Macaca fascicularis: one gene and its partners. The protein of the gene in region 3 interacts with the protein of the main gene of each other region in a pairwise test. Links are inferred from orthologs where the notes say so. Each region holds a gene or a part of one and is shown on either strand. Other genes may lie near its edges. The genes, in order: ALAS1, VIM, PPL, AKT1, RAB3IP and ZSCAN1.

Region 1 (4,152 bases), on a different chromosome or scaffold from region 3:
CTAAGGAAAGCAAGGCCCAAAGATGAGCAAAGCACTCAATATCCTTATTCTGTTCCCACTTACAGCTGCACTTGGGTCCAAGTGCTGACCTTTTCTCTCTCATCTTCTCTGGGTGATGGGCACTGCCCAGGATTCCTTGGCAGAATGGCACAGAACTGGGTCTTGAGCTCTCAGACCAAAGCACGCATCCTGGACAGGTCCCACTGCCACTCTGAACCCAGGTGCCTCCTCTGAAGGTGGAGACTCACCTCACCTGCCTTGCAGCCAGCTGGATGCTCAGAGAGGGAAATGCAAAGTACCTGGACACACCCTGGTCACCATCATTCTGGACTTTGTCCCTCTTGTTAATGCGTAGCTGGGAAAGGAATACTCTCGACGGCCCTTTCCTCAAGAATGGAGAGTACCTCTGAGCCTGGCACAGGCCCAGCCCAACTCAGCCCAAGCCAAGCTGGGAAGGGTGTGGAGCAAGGAAGCCAGACTGGCATTCCCGAGAGGGGTTTGCCAAGCCCCACACTTCATGTGTTGTGCCAGAGAAACTCAATGGAGGTATGGCCCAACGCTGACCTTTGGGATGGAGGCCTAAGCCACCCTGCTGGTGCCCAGGGTGGCCAGCAAGGGGCTTCAGACAACCCCAGATGGAAAATAAAAATAGTGGCTAATATTTGTTACATGCTAACTATTGTCAGGCCCTGTGCCTCCCCCTCCGCCCCAAGTGCTCAGAGCTGTGGAATGGATGGGTTCCATCCAGCCCTGTTCCTCTGCCTCCTCTGGATCATCTTAGACCGGAAAGTGCCACAGCTGAGTGTCCCGCTTCTTCCGCATCCTGCCAGGACCACTCCATCTGTAGGGGATACAATCAGCTCCACCTCCTTCGGGAAGCCCTTGTTCACAGTTTCCAAAGCAAGCCGCAGATGGGATGGATCCTGCTTAACACCTCGGCCCAGAACCCCTTGGATCTCCTTCTTCCTCCAGGTCCAAGACACCCATCTTAACAACCCTGTAGCCCCCAACTTGGCCCTAGCCGCCTCGACCTTGCCATTTTATACCCCACAATCGGGGCGTAGGGTTCTGAAGCCCAGGGTAGTTGGTGGGGAGGCAGCACGAGAGTGCAGGATGAGGTCGGGAAAAAAGACCTCGTCCGCTCACCGCCTGGCCCTTCCTCCTCCCGGCAGGCGAGCCGGGGAATCCCCGGCTGCACGGATAACCGCAGAGCCAAAGAAGTGGGCTTCTCTGCCCCGCCCGCCCAGCTCGCCGAGGGCGACGCGGCGCGCCTGCGCGGAAGAAGGCAGCGCCCACGGCGCATGCGCAGCGGTCACTCCTGCTATATATTAAGGCGCCGGCGATCGCGGCCTGGGGCTGCTCCTGGACAAGGGCAACGAACGGTTCGTTTGGACTTCTCGGCTTGAGTGCCCGCCTCCTTCGCCGCCGCCTCCGCAGAGTCCCCAGCGCAGGTGAGGGCCCGCGCGGTAGGTGCGGCGCCGGCCGGGGAAGCCCCCGCGTGTCCTGTCAGCCGGGGCACCTCTCCCCGGGGCGCTGGGACCCCATCCCCCACTGTCCCAGTCATCCGCCGCCTTGAGGTCAGCGTTTATCCTCCAGATTTTTTGCCTAGACGGCCGCCTCAGTTTTCCCCTTTCGGCCCCTTCCAGCTATTCCCGGTTGAACCCGCCGCTTTAGAATTCCCTTCTCATACCCCTCCCGTCATTCTCGAGACCTCGACCGCGGGTCACCTCTGACCCCCACTGCCCGAGTACTGCCTTCTTTCTCCAGACTCAACTCCCTCAACTTTATAGCCCCTGCGCGTCCCCAGTGAGTCCCAAGGCGCTGGTCCTCATACCCCTACCCTCGTTTGTGCCCCTCCTTTCTCAGTTATGCCCAGTTCTTCCCGCTGTGGGGACACGACCGCGGAGGAATCCTTGCTTCAGGGACTCGGGGGCATGCTGGACTCCTTCCTCGGGTTTAGGAGTGCTTTCGGGGATGCGGGGACCAGGAGAAAGTCAGGATCCCTAATAGTCTTCCCTGTCTGGATAGATGAGTGGCTTCTTCCCTAACATCCCTTCTCCACCTGGATGTAAGCCAAGATGTCTTATCTGCACTGTGCATCTCCCTAAGAAACCTCTGGCCTCCCAAACCTGTTTTTGACTTGTGCTTCATCCTTCTGCCCCCTTGGCTATGTACTGTCAGTATTTACTTCATTTGGTGAAGTTGCTTTGTGTAGAGCTGGGGAATGAAGAAGTTGGTGACCCGTGTAAAATGTGGTCACCATTCCTTAGCTGAGTCTCACATCAGTGCTGTCCTTAGGCATTTTTGAGGGAGAAGTGTTAGTATTCCAGGGTACCCTTTATAGAAACTGCAGGTGGCACCTGAATCCAATGAGCTTGCGGTGATATTTGCCTGATTATTAACAGCTGTTGATGTCACTCATCATCAGTCTTTCCACAGGAGCCAGCATACTTCTTGAACATGGAGACTGTTGTTCGCCGCTGCCCATTCTTATCCCGAGTCCCCCAGGCCTTTCTGCAGAAAGCAGGCAAATCTCTGTTGTTCTATGCCCAAAACTGCCCCAAGATGATGGAAGTTGGGGCCAAGCCAGCCCCTCGGGCATTGTCCACTGCAGCAGTACACTACCAACAGATCAAAGAAACCTCTCCGGCCAGTGAGAGTAAGTGTCACTGACAATGAAGGAGCAGGTACAGGTGTGTGTGCTCATTGGTAGACTAGAAGCAGTCCCCACAGTGGTGGTGAGGGCCACAGTCACTCACAAAGGGCTGCTCTGTGCACAGATTATCTCATATGATTGTCACCCCAAGGGTAGGCACTTTTAGCCTTTCCATCTTTAAAGGTGAAACAGTGGCCAGTGTTGCACATGGCAGGTTTTTGGATTGCATGTTAGTGTCTGTTGGGATTTTAGTGTTTCCTCAGTGCCTCGTTCACATAAATATTAAATTGGAGTGTTCTAATTTCCCTCATTAAACATTTGGCCTTCTAATTTCCCTCATTAAACATTTGGCCTTCAGCTTTTTATTTATTTAGTTTTTCTTTTTTGAGACAGAGTCTTGCTCTGTTCCCCAGGTTGGAGTGCAGTGATGCAATGTCGGCTTACTGCAACCTCCACTTCCCAGGTTCAAGCGATTCTCCTGCCTCAGCCTCCCAAATACCTGGAATTACAGGCATGCACCACCACACCCGGATAATTTTTGTACTTTTAGTAGGGTTTCACCTTGTTGGCCAGGCTTGTCCTGAACTCCTGACCTGATCCACCTGCTTCAGCCTCCCAGAGTGCTGGAATTACAGGCATGAGCCACCGTGCCTGGCACCTTTGGCTTTTTAAAGTAGTGACTTGTTTTTTTCCTTAAAAGTTTTTGTTTTATTGTGGTAAAATGCCCAAGAAAAATTACCATTTTAAGCATTTAAAAATGTACAGTTCAGTGGTACATTCATATTGTTGTGTGACGATCACCACCATCCATCTCCAGAACTTTTTTTGTCTTCTCAAACTGAAATTCTATACCCATCAAATAGTAACTCTCCATTCCTCTCTCCCCAACCCCTGGCAACCACCATTCTGCTTTCTGTCTCTATGAATTTGACTATTCTAGGTACCTCATATAAATGAAATCGTACAGTATTAGTGATTTTAAAAACAAATTTATCTTGGCTGTGTGCAGTGGCTCACTCCTGTAATCTGAGCACTTTGGGAGGCTGAGGCGGTTGGATCATGTGAGGCCAGGAGTTCAAGACCAGCCTGGCCACGTGGTGAAACTCCATTGCTACAAAAAAATACAAAAATCAGCTGGACGTGATGGTATACACCTGAAATCCCAGCTACTTGGGAGGCTGAGGCATGAGAATTGCTTGAAACCAGGAGGTAGAGGTTGCAGTGAGCTGAGATCATGCCATGTATCTTTATTTATATATACATTTGTTGTTGTTTTCAACAAAGAGACTGGAGTTGAATTTAGTTTGCTCTGGTTCTGCTAGGAGAGAACAAGGCTTTTCAGGTTCCACTTAATCCTAGAGAGTATTTTACAGGTTTTTCTTAGGCGTGTTCTCTGGGTGTGGGCTTGTAAGAAAAGAATTTTTGTTTTTCTTTAAGCAAAAAGGATTTAATCCTTTATAGGGTTTATTTTCAAGAGTTAGTTATGTCTTTTTTAC
Region 2 (2,849 bases), on a different chromosome or scaffold from region 3:
ACTAAGGTGATAGAAAAGTCTCAACAGTTTAAGACCATAAGGCTATAAACTGAACTCCAAATATAATTGCTGACAAGATAAACAATCCTCACGCATCCTTTTGAGAGGAAATAAAATCTTAGTTGCAAGATTACATGTTCTGAATTGGAATGTTGAGCTTTACAAATGGAAACATAGAAGGACAGCTGAATCAGCAAAAATCCTTCATGTAGTTTCATTCTCTGCAAGTTTGACCAGTCATTCTGAAACAGGCCAACTGAACGGATACAGTGGCAAGCGAAAAAGACACGCCTTTGTAGGATGAGTCAAAGGAGTTTTAGAAGAAAAATCCATCAGAGAAAGCAGAGAAAATACAGTTCAGAGTTACATTTCTTTTCCAATTTTTCCTGAACTGAATCTTTGGCAGCATATCCTGAATTGGGTTATTATTGAATATAAATCTAGCCTTGTACAATGGATGCCACATGATTGCATATTTGCTTTGGAGCCTAAGGATAAGTTTCAAAAGATTTGAGTGGGGAAAAAAAGCTAAAACTCTTGAAGCACAAGTTTCTGTTCTCCATGTACTCAAGTGTACATGAAGTTATGAAAATTTGTCCACCTCTATCATCATGTTATTCCATGAAATTACAAAACAAATCTTAACAATGTTGTGGCATAGATTTTCTAGATTTAAAAAGTAATTAAATTAAAGGAATTACTTTCTTTTTTGAGACAGAGTGTCACTCTGTTGCCCAGGCTGGAGTGCAGTGGCGCTATGTCAGCTCACTACAACCTCTGCCTCCTAGGGTTGAAGAAATTATCCTGCCTCAACCTCTCAAGTAGCTGGGACTACAGGTGTGTGCCACCCACCCAGCTAATTTTTGTATTTTCAGTAGAGATGGGGTTTCGCCATGTTGGCTAGGCTGGTCTCAAACTCCTGACCTCAAGTGATCCACCCGCCTCGGCCTCCCAAAGTGCTGGGATTACAAGCAAGAGCCACCATGACCAGCCTTAAAAAATAATTTTAAAATGTCACAGGTAAAATGTGGATTCAGTCATGATTGAGTGCAGTTTACCATGTGTGTGGACGTTTATTTATTTTAAAATTGTCCATTCACCACCTTGAGTAAAACACAAGGGGTCACAATTAAAATATATTAGTGAGCAGGAGAAAGCACAGCATATTATAGCACTGAATGATTTATAAACCTATTCAAGGGTCATAAAATGTGTCAACACCTTTTCTATAGTAAGGAGACTAGGTTCAGATGGTTAATCTAAGACAAATAAATGAGATAAGCCATAGACTTTTACATCCTCCATGTCCTGTCTTTTCTCTGTTCAAAATAGGATGTTGACAATGCGTCTCTGGCACGTCTTGACCTTGAACGCAAAGTGGAATCTTTGCAAGAAGAGATTGCCTTTTTGAAGAAACTCCATGAAGAGGTTAGTGGAGTGACTTTTGGGGAATGAATGAGGGTAAGGCAGCCCCCACGGCTGGCACAGCTGACCGTCTGTCTGTTCTTTTTGCAGGAAATCCAGGAGCTGCAGGCTCAGATTCAGGAACAGCATGTCCAGATCGATGTGGATGTTTCCAAGCCTGACCTCACGGCTGCCCTGCGTGACGTACGTCAGCAATATGAAAGTGTGGCTGCCAAGAACCTGCAGGAGGCAGAAGAATGGTACAAGTCCAAGGTAGGAAACAAATCAGTGTGGCTTGAACAAAAGAAAAGCATTGTGTTCTCAATACCCCATACCTGTGTGCGATTCCTAAATATCCTCTAGCTCCAATGCAAAGCTGGCTTTGACTTCTTGCTCACATTGTGTTTGTCGCCACGGCCTTCCCACCACTCACATCACCTCCTTTATATATATATATGTATATTTATGAGACAGAGTCTTGCTCTACTGCCCAGGCTGAAGCGCAGTGGCATCATCTTGGCACACGGCAGCCTCCGCCTCCCAAGTTCAAGTGGTTCTCCTGTCTCAGCCTCCTAAGTAGCTGGGACCACAGGCAAGCACCACCATGTCTGGCTAATTTTTGTCTTTTTAGTAGAGATGGGGTTTCACCATGTTGATCAGGCTGCTCTCAAACTTCTGACCTCAGGTGATCCACCCGCCTTAGCCTCCCAAAATGTTGGGATTACAGGTGTGAGCCACCACACCTGGCCACATCACCTCGTTCAGAATAGCAGACTCCCTTTTCCCTAACCTTGCCTCCAAGTAAACCCCAATGCCATACCTTTGACGTCCACTGTGTTGAAATGAGCATAGTAGAGTGAACTTTGAAAATATTAATGTCAGTACTCCACTGCTCTTTCCCTGACTTTAAAACAGAAATTTAAACCTATACTGGAAGACATTCAGTGAGAAATACGATTTTTTTTCTAAGAGAATCAAAAGACTTGAATGTGAGCAATCTACATTTCTGTTTTCTTCCTAACAGTTTGCTGACCTCTCCGAGGCTGCCAACCGGAACAATGACGCCCTACGCCAGGCAAAGCAGGAGTCCAATGAATACCGGAGACAGGTGCAATCCCTCACCTGTGAAGTGGATGCCCTTAAAGGAACCGTGAGTACCAACCCTGCAGTAAAAGAGGGAAAATAATGACTCATTTTGTTGACTAAGCTCATGGTGATAACCTGAACAAAATGCTGAGTGAGTAAAAATTTATACCTTAATGCAAAGAAAATGAATTATCAAGACAGACTCAAAATGGACTTGATGGAGCTCTTGAAGGTTTTAGCTTGCATATATCATTGCTTCTCATATGAAGGACTTGGTACTTGTATTCTCCACCAAAAATTATAGTGGTCGCCATTTGCCACTAATGGAAATTATTGCAGAAGGTCTGTAAATGGTTCTG
Region 3 (3,500 bases):
CAGGCCGAGGACGCAGCTGCTCCTCTGCCCCGTGACTTGCCCTGTGGACTGCAGCCCAGGATGCCAGCTGTGCTCAGCAAGAGATACTGGGAACATGGATTGTTAGGTGTTTTTTTTTTTTTTAAGAGATGGGGCTTGCAACATTGTCCACGTTGGACCTAAACTCCGGGGCTCAAGCAAGCCCACCCCAGCCTCCTGAATGGCTGGTGTTACAAGCATGTGCCACTGCACTGTCTATTGCAGATATTTGATCTTAAAATGCTGGCATTTGAAATCCCATAGGTCACACAGATCCCGTGAATAGCTCGGATTTGTCCTGCGGGCCTCCATTTGCAATTCCCAGTTTGTCACACTGGGCATTCCAAACCCAGGGAGACGGGATGCTGGTGTCCTCGTCTGTCCGGATGGGGTGGGTGGATGGGCCTGATGCCCTCACCTGCTCAGAGAAGGACTTCTGGGATTTGGGCCCCAGACTCACCGCCAGCTCTTGCCCCTTGCTGTCCAGGATGCAGCTACTCTCGGGCACTGTGTCATCCTGATTCAGATGGTTCTCGTGTGTGGCCAGCAACTCCCAGCCCTGCTGCAGGCTCTTCTCCAGGCGGTTGGCCACGTCAACTCTGAGGACACCAGTCAGGCGTCAGGGGATACCCACCTGGTCCCCTGACGCCACCCCAACCTCCATGTTGCCTGTCTGCCACCCACTTTTCCTGGGCCAAGTCCAGCAGCTGCGCCAGGCGCTCGTATTTCTGGTTGGTGTCCTCCACCCGGGTCCTCAGCAGGGGTGCGGTGCCACTGCCCGGGAGGGCCTGGATGAAGGCTTCGCCCTCAGCCGCGCTCCGAGTCTTCTCAGGCTCAATCCGCAGTAGCTCATTGGTGATGTTCTGTGGGGACCAGGGCCCCTCAGTTTTGGACACAGCCAGGCAGCCCCTTCCCCCGAGGATGTGGCCAGGGTGGGCACACATTCCCACATCAGGGACAGTGGAAGCAGCTGGAAAGGCCTGGCACACTCTGGGGCTCTGATGCGGCGTCTGGACGCCAGCCTGAGGGCTGCATCTTTCACAAGCATCCCAGGGAACCGCTGAGGTGGACTGTGGACTAGTGCCACCAAAAGCACCCAGGCAGCTGCCGGGCCTGTGCTGTCCTAAGCACTGCACGTGAACGCTTCTGTTCAATAACCTTTCCAGCAACCCTGGGAGGTGAGTACTACGACTCCACCCAATCACGGGTGGGGGCGTGATGACTCCCAGCAACTTAGGAAGGGACTTGTGGGGTCAGGTTACACCCGAGACCCGCATCCTCTCACCCTGACTCGGCCCTCACTGTGAGGCCCCATCAGGGACTAGGGCACTTCTCCAATCCCAGATCCCCCTCTGTAAAATTGGAGTGCTACTCCCTGCCTCAAAGGGCTGCCTTGAGGATGTGGGAGACTGTGTAGGAAAGGAGGTGGGTGGTGGTGGCCTTGCCACGTTGCCCCCGGCATCAGCTCACCCTGTCCTTGCCACCGCCCTGCAAGCAGGGTCAACCCATCCTACTGAAGAGGCCTGGGGTTTAGCTAAAATGTCTGCGGTCAAATCAGCCAGTGACCCAGTCCTGCGGAATTCCACAGCCCATGTGCCGCGCCAGGCGTCAGATCGACAAGCCATGCCGGGACAGTGCAAGCCTTGGCTCTTTCTCCTGGGGATATGTCTGGAAAGAGCCTGGCGGCCTGGTCCTTGGTCTGGAAGCTGGGGAGGTGATGAGGGCAGCCCTGCCAGTTCCACGACTCGGGACCCGGTTACATGCAGCAGGCTGTCCCTGTCAGACACCTGCAGTGAATGTCCTAAGACCCCACGGGGGGCCGGGCGCGGTGGCTCAAGCCTGTAATCCCAGCACTTTGGGAGGCCGAGACGGGCGGATCACGAGGTCAGGAGATCAAGACCATCCTGGCTAATATGGTGAAACCCCGTCTCTACTAAAAATACAAAAAACTAGCCGGGCGTGGTGGTGGGCGCCTGTAGTCCCAGCTACTCGGGAGGCTGAGGCAGGAGAATGGCGTAAACCCGGGAGGCGGAGCTTGCAGTGAGCTGAGATCCGGCCACTGCACTCCAGCCTGGGCGACACAGCGAGACTCCGTCTCAAAAAAAAAAAAAAAAAAAAGACCCCACGGGGAAAAGACCTCAAATAGGGGCCGCCAGGGGGCCAGTGCAGGGCTCCCCAGGCCCCGCCTGTGCTCCTGACCCACAGGTACCTTAAGGTCTTTGGCCCGCTCAGCACTGTCCTGCACAGCCCGGCCTTGCTCCAGCGGTGGCCGCAGGATCCCTGTGATGGCCTTCTCCTGCCGGTCCAGGTCTCTGGCCACCTTGTCCAAGCCAGCCAGCAGCTGCCGCCCTTGTAGGTCAGAGGCATCTGTGGAGGGAGGGAGGACACAGGCAGGTGTGACAATGGGCCAGGGGTGTGAGGCTCAGGGAGGGACCTAGGCACCCAGCCCCCCACCTCCTGCCAGGCCCCTGCCATCTCATCCACAGCATATACCCTGGGTCCAGCCCCTCCCTGGCACCCTCAGAGCCTCAGGCGAGTGGCCCTGGCACCCACCTCCAGGGTTCTCGGTCTTCAGCACCTCATACCGCTGCTGCAGCGTGCGTTTGCTCCCGGCTGCCTTCTGCTGCACGCTCCGGTACTGGCTGCCCAGGCTGTGAGGACAGAAATGAGCTGGGAACCTGGGCAGCCCACCACCCCTTGCACCCACAGAGACACGACAGCAGACTGGCTGGGCAGACACCCCAGAGGAGCCTGACAGCTCCTTAGATGCAGACAGCGAGTGCTCACTGTCGTGCTGGCCTTTGTGTGCTCCTGGGCTCAGAACTCCTCCTCCTTCCCCTTCTTCATAGGAAGTCTTAAACTACCTAAAATTGTCCAATAATCTCCACCAAGATGTTACCTCTGAGGGAGCATACACAGTAGGTGCTCAATAAATACATGAATGAATAAATGAAGGCATTCCTTGAATCATCCACTCATTCAGCAAGGAGTTCCTGGGCACCAACTTTCCACCAGGTACTTAACTAGGCCCTGGAGAGAGGAAATTCAAGGAGCCCAACGAGACTGACACATATGATAGTCAATAAAAAGTGGTGTGTGCAGTGGAAGAAGGTGCCTGGGAGCAAAGAGGAGGCAGCCCTTATTCCAGCTGAGTCCACAGTCGAGGGGCTGGGAGCTGCAGGTACAGGGAGCAGTGCGTGTGGGAGCCAGGGGCCCTTAGAAACTGCTTGCTGGACGAAGCCAAGAGCTGGATATTCATGTTCAGCAAGTCAGTCGGCCCACGATCTGCCCCTCTCCTGCGTGAACCTCCAAGGGGGTACAGATGGAGAGTGTCAGCAACCCCCCGCTCCCCACAGGCTGAGTCCAAATGCCCAGGGCTATGAATGGGGCCTGAGAAGCCGTGGGGGTGGGGCTGGTCCATGCAGACTCCCGCCTTTGCCCTTGTACCTGTCAGCCAGAGCCAGGGCCTCAGGGTCTGTGGG
Region 4 (3,500 bases), on a different chromosome or scaffold from region 3:
GAAGCTGCCCTCACAGCAGCCCAGCAGGCGACAGGAGGTAGTGCGGCCCAGCTCTGAGACCCTCCCTGCTACCAGTAGGTGATGACTTTATTTTTGCTTTTTCTTTCTTGTTTTCTTATTTTTATTAGTCTTCTTGTAAATTGGGAAAGGGGGAGACTGTGGAACAGGGTGCACAGGATGAGCGCACCCTGCCTCCATGGCTCAGGGACTACAGGATCGCAGCCTCCTGGCATCTGGCTGCAGAGAGGACTCTCGATGACCCAGGATCAAGGGTGACTATAAGGCAATGTGCACATGTGAGGAGCTGCCAGAGAGCCCCTCAGGTCCCACAGTCAAGGATCCCCTCAAGCACTGCCCCACCCAAGTCTGGCCTGGGCACCAGCACTGTCCATTGTCAATTAGCAAGGTCTCTGGTCAAGGCTGGGCAGAGGCTGAGCACTGCCCAGGCCCCCCATACCCTTGAAGGGCAGGGCAGGGCTGGAGGGTGGCAGGCCTCAGGGCAGGAACTGGGACCAGGGCCAGGGCACCCTGTGTTAAATGGGAGGACAGGTGCCCAGCTGGGTCCCAGGGCTGCCCAGCCTGACCAGCTGCACATGGCCTGGGACAGGCATTCAGGGGAGGGGCAGGCTGGGAACTGGGCAGAAGCACACCTGGTGACAGGGCACCCAGCACCTCAGAGTGCAGGATTCTGAACCTAGCCAGCAGACCCCATCAGCCAGGGTGACGGCCAGGGCTCCTGAAAGATGAGCACCCAGGATGGCGACTCATGTAGACAGAGCTGCCTCCCTCCAGGGCGGACTCCCCCATGTGCCAGGAAAGTAGGTGCTGTCCCGTCCCTGCACAGCCAGAAAGTAGGGCTGGGCTCTCCTTGCAGCATAAAGGATTGAGATCAGACAACAGGAGGAACTGGTAGAGAGCAAGGAGCAGCACCCCTGGTCCACCGCCAGCCAGCCTTCACTGCACAGCATCAGGGAAGGGACCCCCAAGGCTGGCACTCAGAGTGTGACACATCTCTGAGGGGAGGAGGAAATGAGGAGGACCAGGCCAGTTTCCTGGAGGAAGCCAGCAGTGCCAGAGCTTCTGAGCAGCAGGCACTGAGGTTGCTGCAGCAAGGCCCTCCTTGTACCAGGACTGCAGCAGGCTCCCGAGGTGAGGGCAGGTGTGTGGGAAATCCGGCGAGCATGCCACGTGCATGCGTGAGTGTGGATATGCGGGAAGCAGCCGCACCTTCTTCTCATACACGTGCTGCCACACGATGCCGGCAAAGAAGCGATGCTGCATGATCTCCTTGGCGTCCTCAGAGCCCCCGCCAAGCCTGCGGGTAGCAAACAAGGCCACGGTGTCGGTACTGCCACCCGCCCAGGCCCCAGGCTCAGACCCCTTCCTCCTGTGATGTAGGGCCCGCCGGACAGGACGTTCTGGGGCCAGGGAGGGCAACCGGTGGTGCAGCATCCCTGAGCAGCTGTGGGGAGCAAAGCACCCCAGGGCTCACGGCAGGCAGGGGCTTCCTGAGTTGGGGGTGTGGGGGCTGCAGGGTTGGGGATGGAGGCCCAACTGACCCTGCCCTACCCAGCCACTCTGCCTGTGCCTGAGGCTTTGGGGATCAGCCCTGGCCAAGGACATCAAGCTCTGGCTATCAGTGTAGTCTGGGAGGTGCCAGGACCGCCTGGCACAGGGGCAGGTGCAGCCTGGGGGTGAGGGGATGGAGGTGGAGCCTGCAGCCGGGATGGGTGGCCCTCACCTCTGCTTGGGGTCCTTCTTGAGCAGCCCTGAGAGCAAGGACTTGGCCTCAGGACCAAGCGTGCGCGGGAAGCGGATCTCCTCCATGAGGATGAGCTCAAAAAGCTTCTCGTGGTCCTGGTTGTAGAAGGGCAGGCGGCCGCACATCATCTCATACATGACCACGCCCAGCCCCCACCAGTCCACCGCACGGCCGTAGTCATTGTCCTCCAGCACCTGCACGGGCGGCAGATGGGCAGGACTCGGCATCAGGGGGTGTCCGGGGGAGGTGTCGTGACGTGCTTGGGGCACAGAGAGGACACAGCTTTGCGTGTGCTCGGGACGTGGGGACACAGCGACGCGTATGCACACAGGTGGGGCGCACACCTCGGGGGCCAGGTACTCAGGTGTGCCGCAGAAGGTCTTCATGGTGGCGCCGTCCTTGATCCCCTCCTTGCACAGCCCGAAGTCTGTGATCTTAATGTGCCCGTCCTTGTCCAGCATGAGGTTCTCCAGCTAGGGGAAAGGTGGCCTCAGGTCAGTGCCGCCAGGCTCCCAGGGCCCTGCCCCCACCCCGAGTGCCCGCCGGCGCACCTTGAGGTCCCGGTACACCACATTCTTCTCCGAGTGCAGGTAGTCCAGGGCTGACACGATCTCGGCGCCATAGAAGCGGGCCCGGTCCTCAGAGAACACACGCTCCCGGGACAGGTGGAAGAAGAGCTGTGGGAAGCGCGACCTGAGGCACAGCTGTGGCCGGGGCCTCCGCCCCCACAGCCTGCAGGGTTGGGGTTTCTCAGGCAGGGGCTCAGGGCATTGGGCACAGGGAAGGGACCAGCCCCCAGAGGGCACGGGGGCCTGGAAAGTCTCAGAAGCCCTAACTCAGCAGGAACAAGTCACCCCACAGCAGGCAGCTGCCTGGGCAGGCGTCATACCACCCACCCAGCAGGGAGCACCGTCTGGTGCTGTGGAGAGTAGCCGAGGTTCCGGGAAGGACCAGCCCCACTATGGGTGGCCCAGCTGCCAGGGCTGGGTCCACAGGCCGTGAGGCCCATCCCCCACAGCCCCAGCCCCTACCTCGCCCCCATTGGCGTACTCCATGACGAAGCAGAGGCGGTCGTGGGTCTGGAAGGAGTACTTCAGGGCCTGCAAGGAAGCGGAGCTGGAACTGCAGCCCCACGGGCAGGACAGCAGCCCCACACCACGCTGCCCGATACCATGCTGCTTGATACCATGCCACCCGTAGCCCCACACCATGCTGCCCGACACCACGCTGCCTGATACCATGCTGCTTGATACCATGCCACCCGATACCATGCCACCCGTAGCCCCACGCCACGCTGCCTCACACCACATTGCCCGATACCACGCTGCCCCACACCACGCTGCCCCGCACCACACCCCCACATCACACTGCCTCACACCACATTGTCCCACACCACACACCCCCACATCACACTGTCTCACACCACATTGTCCCACACCACACACCCCCACATCACACTGCCTCATGCCACACCCCCACACCACACCATCAGGCTGGGCCCTGGCAGCCCCTGAGGTGCCAAGGAGTGTTTGAAAGGTGAGCAAAGTGGCCTGGGCTCAGGTCTCCAGGGCGGGTTGGGACCTCAACAGGGGGCAGTGCTCCCAGCACCAGAGCCCTGGCAAGGGAGGATGCACCCTCCCAGGCAGAGCCACCTTCCTGCCTTCCACCACAGGCGGCTGTGCTTTTAAAGCAAAGGCCCCTTCTGCAGGAGAATCATCCCCAAACACAGTGACCTGGA
Region 5 (3,960 bases), on a different chromosome or scaffold from region 3:
TTCTCTTTTGCTAAACATAGAGACACATACTATGACTGCCTCTTTATTTTTTCCGATTTTTGGGATCTTGGCTCTTTCTGTATTTTTCCTACCTGGAAGACTTAAAGTGGGGTGGAAGTTTGATAAAACAGTTGGCACAAAAGATGAGAGAAGACAGGTACAGGCGTGACATTCTCGAACGCTCTGGCAGTTGCTGGAATGATGGGATCTGGGTTCTACAGGATTCCTCCCCTCCCATCCCCCGCCACACACACACACACGTCGTAAGATGTATATGGCCGCGGAGTCTCAGGTTGGTTCTAGGAGTCCTCAACTCACGGCGAAGGTGCCTCTTCTCCCTTCTGGAGAGCCCAACATGCCTGAAGTCAACCTGAGGTGGCCTCTCGGGCCCCGGGAAACAGCGCAGCTCGGGCTCGCCCTTGTTCCCAGGGAAACCGCCCGCGGAGGAACCTGGGGCCAGGCCCGTGACAGCTGCGACGAGCCCCGCCTGGCGCCAGGGGGCGCGGAAGCGCGTCCGCCCCCAGGCCCCACGCCGGGCCCGCCCCGCCCCTGCCGGCCACACCCCCCCGCCCCGCCCACCCTCCGTGAGGACCGGCCGCTCCCAGCTCCCGGCTCCCGGCCCCGGGCCCCGGCCCCGCTTCCGGCGCAGGCGCAGTCCCGCGTTCCCTCGGCGGCTGCCGGCGTAGTGAGCCCGCCACCGTGGAGTGTAGCGGCAAGGGCTCGCCGTCCTCCTCCGCCTCTCGCTGCTTCGGGGCGCGCTCTCTGCGGCTCTGTGAGCGCCCGTGAGCGCCGGCAGCGGCCGCGGTGGGTTCGTCAGGTGAGTGCGGCCGCGGGAGGGAGAGGCCCGGAGCGTGGAGCACCGCCCCCCTCGGCGCCCGCGCGCCCGCCTCCGGCGAGTCGGCCAGGAGGGGCGGCCGCGGCAGGTGCAGGTGCCGGCGCCGTGGAGGGCGCGGCGCGCGGGGGTTTGGCGGGATGCCCCGGCCCGGTGAGCGCGCTCTCCGCGTGGGCAGTTGGGCTCCGGGGTCTTGGGGGCGGCGTGTGGGGGGACCTCGGCGCCCCGGGTCAGCCGGCCGCCCCCTGGGCTGCTGGTGGGCGCCGGGCGGCGGCTCCTCCCCCGGGCACGGGCGCGTTACACATTAACTGCGCGGTCCCGCGCGCCCGGGGCAGGGAGCCGGAGCCCGGCGGGTTACCTGGCGGCGGGCGGGAGCGGCCGGGAGCGGAAGGCCGGGGTCGCGAAGGGGATGAAGACGGAGTTCCCGAACAAGTCGGAAGCCGCTCACAACACCGGGCGCCGCGCGGCAGGGCTGTGGACGGGGCAATAGCTGTGGACCTGGGGTGGTTTCGTGCCCCAGTCTTAGGAAACGACGCTAGAGGCACCGTGCTGAGGCGTAGAGGTCACCCTCGGGAGGTTTCGGTGAAACCTGGTGGGAAATTCCGGGCAGGCGCCCGGAGTCGCGTCCGAAGAGGCAGCTCCTTGCAGCCAGACTTGTGTTCGGGGGAGTTGAGACGAGCTGCACGGATGGGATTGCACGGCTTTGCCCTCCCAGCGTTGAAAACTCGCCCCGACCGCCCGGGGAAGCGCGAGCTTCCTCGCTCCAGAATTGATGCTGGGTGGAAGCCGCAGCATGTAAAGAGTTGCCGGTTGTTATGGGATTAAAAAAAGATATATCTGCAATGGCTAAAGGGTAAGGTCTTGAAAGACAAGAGCGCTGAGTTAGTACTGATTACTGAGAGGCAATTTAGTTTCATGGAAATGTTGCCTGTTCGGAGGCTACCTGTTATACACTCTCATGTTTCACCCCAACTCCTTCCTTTCACTGTCGGGTTAAAAGCCTTGTAATCTCTTGCAGTGGAATGATTGCATAATTGGAGGAGGGGCCCGTAAGAGGATTACAACAAAACTGTTCCTTTGTAAATCAATTGAAAGACCCAGTTCTTGTTCATTATCCTTTTTCTCATTTTGTTGTTCATGAAGGTTTTTTTTTTTTTTTCCCCCAGTGGTGAATGACAAATCAAGGAGAAAAGAGGCAGAATAGGGTTGTAGACCAATCGTAGTAAATATTTGATACTGTTAAATATTTCACCAGTTTTATGGGGCCTTGTACTATTACCATTTGTTATTTATTTACTAGTACTGTGCATTTTGATAGGACTTTTCATGTTTGGACATTGTATTCCAGATATGGCTTATGTGATCTAATGCTAAAGCCCTTGTGGAATTTATAGAAATAAACAGTTATACAGTTAAGTAGTCCATTTTTTAACTATTGAAGGAAAAGCCTTTCATTTTTTTCCATTGCAGTAATGTTATATATTAATGTATACCTTTGTGAACCAAAGTGTTTAATATAAATCTTCCTTCCGTATTTGGCAGACAACTCATCTGTGGTATTGAATACTTGTAACCTTTCACCAGGATGGCCATTTAATGTTTAGCTGCTTTGTGGGTTTTCTGAATAGATCCTATTGTACTTTTTGAATTAGTGTAATTATCCATATGCTTCCTTTAATATTCTTTACCTTTGATTTTGTGTAAACCCTCATCCTCCCCCAACACACACATCCTCTGCAAATAATTTTTAAAATGGAAATGTTCTTAGAAATCTGTTTCACCCCCTCATTTTTTAAACATGGCAGGAAAAAATACTTTGTAGATTACAGTAGTTTTATATGCATTATAGTAGTTAGTATATTTTTTTCCCCCTCAGCAGGAGTCAGTGAACAAATTAGTGAGCTGGCTGAATGAAAAATTATTTAATGTTCAGTTCCATCACTTACTGTGCATAAAACCTTGAGTAAAACATTTAACCTATTTGAGCTTATTTTCTCCATTTGTCAGTGGAAATACTATTAGGTTGAAATTGCTAATATTCTGCTGTTTTTTATGTTTCAACCTAATATGAACTTCATAGTGGTGAGATGAGGATTTAATAAGATACTCCATTAGAGATGTGGGGAAGGGGAGAAGGAACCAATGTGAGCTTGCTTGTGTGCAAGGCACTGTGCGTGCTTGTTTTCCATACCTTGACTCCTCAGTCCTCTGGACATTCCTGGGATATAGGTGACTGTCAAATTTTACAAATCAGGAAATGGAGGCTTAGAAAGTTGCGGTAACTTGTCTGTAGTTACTTAGTTGTAGGTGGTCGTACAGCTGGCCAGTGATAGAGCCGGTATTAAAAACTGTATCCAACTGCCCAAAATGGAACTTAGTGCTCTTATTCCTTACATTCCCAGTCTGCACTTTCTATTAAAGAACTTTGTAACTATAAGGAGGCACACAGAGTGACAAGTGTTACCATTTGTATTTCTGGTTTAAAAATACCCAGGTTTTCTAATGACGGTGATACCAGCCTTGCTACTACAGTTACTTTGAAGTCTAGTGCTTATCAAGCCAAGTCCTGGTACAAGCTTTATACTAACTCACTCACTCTCACAGTGAGCTAGGAGATAATACTTTATCCCTATTTTGTAGTTGAGAAAATTGAGACGCTGAGACCTTATGTAGTTTGCTCAAAGTCATATAATTAATTAAGTGACAGGTCTGGATTAGATGTCAGTTTGTCTTCCATGTCTGTGCTGTTAACCACTGCACTCTGTATAAGTGGTAATGCTGAAGAATTATTTGCTTATAATCACTGCATTATTACTTCTTTGTGTGTAGCTTATAATGCTGAAGAACTGTTTGTAATTTAGCTTTTATGAGATATGTAATATTAATGTAATATGTAATTCTCATGTGTCACCAGAGATTTTTTTAAATCATATACTCAATTGAGCATCTACTCTGCAAGTCACAGTAGGGGTTAAAGGAAACAATTCTTAAGGAATATGGGAGGTGGGGCCTTATAATCATTCCCATATCTTTTATAAGTTCTTCAAAATGTAGAACACACGTTACATATTTTAATGAATGTCAACTAAGACGAAGTGCTAGGATAGTTGAGTAGTGGAGAGGAAGAA
Region 6 (3,500 bases), on a different chromosome or scaffold from region 3:
CACACACACACACAGGCCACCCACTCTTCCCTCCACGCAGCCCCTCTGCTGCCCTTGATTAGTCACAGACACCAAGGTGGGTGAAGTAGGGAGTAGGCTGACTGTCCACAGTGGCCCCCAGCAGCCAGGTACCGGAAAAAGGCGTAAAAGGGAGTCCCGCCTTTACTCTTGCAGATGATGGCTCCTCTGGTGACGATTTCAGAATTCAACATGTTTTACAATCAAAACTAGCATTTGATAATAAATAAAAATCAACAGCCCAGCCAAACACACCATCCACATACTCCCAATGTGAGAGCAGGAAGACTCTTGTGCCTTAACTCCCTTCCTGCCACCAGCTCCCTCTCTCCCTCCCTCCTCTGTCTCTAGCCCAGCAATCCCTCCACTCCGGTTCTGCCCAGCTGTTGGGAATCTTGGACAGCTTCCTGAGATCCCTGTGCATCCAGTCAGGGTTGGGGCAGCAGAAAACGAAGACCCACTCAAGACCTTATCAGTGCGTGCTTGACTCCTGGTCTCTCTTCTCATGCTTTGTTTGACTCGACATACCTCCTCCAACAACTTGATTTGCATTGATAAGTGTCACTGTGTTTTCCTTTGACACGACCCTGTTGCAGTTTGCCGAGCCCTTGATGGTACCAGGCTCTGGGCACGTAGAACCTACATCCTCATTGGAAACCCAGAGAGCTAAAGCTCCTCAGCCAGGGTCACAGAGCGAGCAGAGCTGGAGCCTGGATACCAAGCCAAGCCCCTCTGTTTTGAATTCTTGCTCTTCAACTACAGCTCAGTCTCCTCCCAGGAAGTGGTGATCCCCGCTTTGGGCGGGACAGGGTTAAGTGCCTCAGAGGTCATAGGTCGCAGGTGGGATGTGAAGTCTGTGCAGTCGCCCACCTTCTCTGGGCTTGTGGGCAAGGACAGTGCAGCCTTGGGGGATGGGAGTTAGGAGCCCCAGCGGGTAACAGTGACCTGAGCCGTGGCACGGGTCCCCTGGCTCCATCTTATGCTCTGTTGTCACCGTCCTGAAATGATCAACTATTTTTGAACAAGGGGACTTGCATTTCCATTTTGTACAGGGGCCCCTCGAATTATGTCTCAGGTCCTGGTAAGAGCTCCTTGGGAGTGGTTACTTATCCTTTTGTATAAGCAGAGTCTTGCTATGTTGCCCAGGCTGGTCCCAAACTCCTGGACTCAAGCAATCCTCCGGCATCAGCATCCCAAAGCAGGGGAACAACAGGCACGCCACCACATACCGCCCTGGGAGACAGCCTTTGGGGATGACGCCCGTTCCTTTGTTGTTCCGTGGTGGTGGGGAGGACGGCTCCTGAGGGGCAGCTGCCGAACAGTCCTGTGCTTGCCATTCCAGGCGTCTGAGCTGATTCTGGATGCAGCGGCAGCAGCCCCGGCACTCCCTGAGGAAAGTGAGTGGCTGGAGCCCACCCAGCTCCTGCAGAGTCTGCACACCAGGGCGGAGGCCGAGGCGCCCCATGCCCCTGGCTTGCTGGGTGAGTCTGGCTCCTGCGTGGATTAAGGGTTGGAAATGGAGTTTGGCACCTCAACCCAAAGTCACAGACTTTGTTAATGGGTGGAGTTGGGGGCTTCGGTGGTAAACTCCACACTTCCCCCAGAAACCATGCACACCTCCTGTGGGGACTGAGATCAGGGGCCCCTAGAACTGCCACATACATCGTTCAGCCCACGAGAAGGGCCTCAGCCTCCCCACCTGAACAGCAGCCAAGGCAGACAGTCTGACAGTGTTGGAGCACAGGGTTACCCAGAAGGCCAGCCAGGTAGGAACAAGGGGCCAGTGCTGTGGGATCTGCTCCCAAAACACATGCCCTTCTTTTTTTTTTTTTTTGGAGATGGAGTCTTGCTCTGTTGCCCAGGCTGGAGTGCAGTAGTGCAATCTCGGCTCACTGCAACCTCTGCCTCCCGGATTCAAGCGATTCTCCTGCCTCAGCCTCCTGAGTAGCTGGGATTACGGGTGCCCACCGCCACACCTGGCTAATTTTTGTATTTTAGTAGAGATGGGGTTTCACCATGTTGGGCAGGCTGGTCTTGAACTCGTCACCTCATGATCCACGCTCCTCGGCCTGCCAAAGTGCTGGGATTATAGGCGTAAGCCACTGCGCCCAGCCACATGTGCCCTTGTATCTTAAAGGACAGAACAGAGGGCACAGGGGACATATTGAGCAGAAGAAGGGCCCAGACTTGGCTCAGTCATTGGGGTCCTCCACGCCCCTGGGGGGCACAGGGAGATGCCAAAGCCATCCACTCACTACAGGTGACCTGTCTCCCTCGCCCTCCACAGGGTCCCGGGCCCGCCTGTCTCTGAAGCCATGTATCTGGGACGAGCCTGAGGATCTTCTCGCAGGGCCCTCCTCAGACCTGCGTGCAGAAGGGGCTGTGATCTCAAGCCTCAAGGGTCCGAGTGCTCAGAGAATCAGTCCCCGAAGGAGAAACAGGAACACTGACCAGAGCGTCCGCCACCAGCCATCCCTCAAGCACACCAAAGGTGGCACCCAAGAGGCTGCTGCAGCGGTCTCAGCAACGCTGCGTGGGCCCCGAGGTGGGCGGCCCTTCCAGTGTGCCGACTGCGGGATGGTCTTCACCTGGGTCACCCACTTCATCGAGCACCAGAAGACCCATCGCGAGGAAGGGCCCTTTCCGTGCCCCGAGTGTGGCAGGGTCTTCCTGCACAGCTCTGTCCTTGCTGAGCACGGCAAGATCCACCTGTTGGAGCCACCCAGGAAGAAAGTCCCCCGGAGCAAGGGCCCCCGGGAGTCTGCCCCACCCAGGGATGGAGCCCAAGGCTCAGTGGCCCCTCGCAGCCCCAAGAGACCCTTCCAGTGTAGCGTCTGCGGGAAGGCCTTCCCCTGGATGGTCCACCTCATCGACCATCAGAAACTCCACACGGCCCACGGCCACATGTGAATGGCCAGCCTCGGGCCTTGGCCACCCGGCCCTGAGTCCCCGGGGGGCACCGATGGGCACCAGAAGATGGGGGACATCCCCCAGCCCCACCAACCCCTGGCCACCATGGGACTCCTCTTGAAGGACACAGGCTGCTTCTCAGAAGATCCTGGACACCTGCTCCAGAGCCGAGCATGGCTTCCCAGGATCTCGGCCAAGAAGCAGCAGTTCCACAGCAAAACCTGGTCAGTCCTGCACACTGTGTTTTGCAAGTGGCTTGAAGAGGAGTTTCATTCGCGTCTCGTCTTTCAGAAGCCTTGTCCAGGTCTCCCTGTGAGCACCTGACTCAGGGGCAGACTCTGCCGCTGGGTTTTCATTTCACTGTGGATATCCCTGAGGCCATGAGGGCGGGAGCCGGCCTGGGCAGCTCCAACTCCAGAGAAGGGTACAGCTGACCCCGGCTGCCCTCCTGCCAGCTCAGCCCCCTTGGAACCTAACAGATAAACAGGGTTTTGTTTTTTTTCCTTTTTTGGGAAACATAAAATTTACCATTTCAGTCATTAAAAATGCACAGTTCAGTGGCATTAAACACA

Evidence for each region.
Region 1: the proteins of PPL (region 3) and ALAS1 interact in binary tests that used the Homo sapiens proteins (3 or more experiments, as listed by UniProt). The two-hybrid records come from large-scale screens. The link is inferred for Macaca fascicularis from reciprocal best matches to the Homo sapiens genes PPL and ALAS1.
Region 2: the proteins of PPL (region 3) and VIM interact in binary tests that used the Homo sapiens proteins (3 or more experiments, as listed by UniProt). The link is inferred for Macaca fascicularis from reciprocal best matches to the Homo sapiens genes PPL and VIM.
Region 4: the proteins of PPL (region 3) and AKT1 interact in a two-hybrid assay, tested with the Homo sapiens proteins (2 studies listed by BioGRID and IntAct). The link is inferred for Macaca fascicularis from reciprocal best matches to the Homo sapiens genes PPL and AKT1.
Region 5: the proteins of PPL (region 3) and RAB3IP interact in binary tests that used the Homo sapiens proteins (3 or more experiments, as listed by UniProt). The two-hybrid records come from large-scale screens. The link is inferred for Macaca fascicularis from reciprocal best matches to the Homo sapiens genes PPL and RAB3IP.
Region 6: the proteins of PPL (region 3) and ZSCAN1 interact in binary tests that used the Homo sapiens proteins (3 or more experiments, as listed by UniProt). The two-hybrid records come from large-scale screens. The link is inferred for Macaca fascicularis from reciprocal best matches to the Homo sapiens genes PPL and ZSCAN1.

The regions. Positions count from the first base shown.
Region 1 is NC_088376.1:115,270,649-115,274,800, forward strand, and holds the start of ALAS1 (5-aminolevulinate synthase, non-specific, mitochondrial), read left to right. Parts: upstream 1-1,352; 5' UTR 1,353-1,451; intron 1,452-2,428; exon of another isoform or gene 2,429-2,439; 5' UTR 2,440-2,460; coding exon 2,461-2,659; intron 2,660-4,152.
Region 2 is NC_088383.1:18,140,902-18,143,750, forward strand, and holds part of VIM (vimentin), read left to right. Parts: intron 1-1,332; coding exon 1,333-1,428; intron 1,429-1,515; coding exon 1,516-1,677; intron 1,678-2,428; coding exon 2,429-2,554; intron 2,555-2,849. UniProt on the Homo sapiens protein: Vimentins are class-III intermediate filaments found in various non-epithelial cells, especially mesenchymal cells. Vimentin is attached to the nucleus, endoplasmic reticulum, and mitochondria, either laterally or terminally.
Region 3 is NC_088394.1:5,706,401-5,709,900, forward strand, and holds part of PPL (periplakin), read right to left. Parts: coding exon 3,466-3,500; intron 2,670-3,465; coding exon 2,572-2,669; intron 2,386-2,571; coding exon 2,228-2,385; intron 882-2,227; coding exon 703-881; intron 618-702; coding exon 479-617; intron 1-478. UniProt on the Homo sapiens protein: Component of the cornified envelope of keratinocytes. May link the cornified envelope to desmosomes and intermediate filaments. May act as a localization signal in PKB/AKT-mediated signaling.
Region 4 is NC_088381.1:172,965,669-172,969,168, forward strand, and holds part of AKT1 (RAC-alpha serine/threonine-protein kinase), read right to left. Parts: intron 2,863-3,500; coding exon 2,794-2,862; intron 2,440-2,793; coding exon 2,314-2,439; intron 2,236-2,313; coding exon 2,107-2,235; intron 1,957-2,106; coding exon 1,742-1,956; intron 1,316-1,741; coding exon 1,228-1,315; intron 1-1,227. UniProt on the Homo sapiens protein: AKT1 is one of 3 closely related serine/threonine-protein kinases (AKT1, AKT2 and AKT3) called the AKT kinase, and which regulate many processes including metabolism, proliferation, cell survival, growth and angiogenesis.
Region 5 is NC_088385.1:76,514,753-76,518,712, forward strand, and holds the start of RAB3IP (rab-3A-interacting protein), read left to right. Parts: upstream 1-1,160; 5' UTR 1,161-1,647; coding exon 1,648-1,685; intron 1,686-3,960. UniProt on the Homo sapiens protein: Guanine nucleotide exchange factor (GEF) which may activate RAB8A and RAB8B. Promotes the exchange of GDP to GTP, converting inactive GDP-bound Rab proteins into their active GTP-bound form.
Region 6 is NC_088393.1:65,772,520-65,776,019, forward strand, and holds part of ZSCAN1 (zinc finger and SCAN domain-containing protein 1), read left to right. Parts: intron 1-1,360; coding exon 1,361-1,499; intron 1,500-2,305; coding exon 2,306-2,928; 3' UTR 2,929-3,500. UniProt on the Homo sapiens protein: May be involved in transcriptional regulation.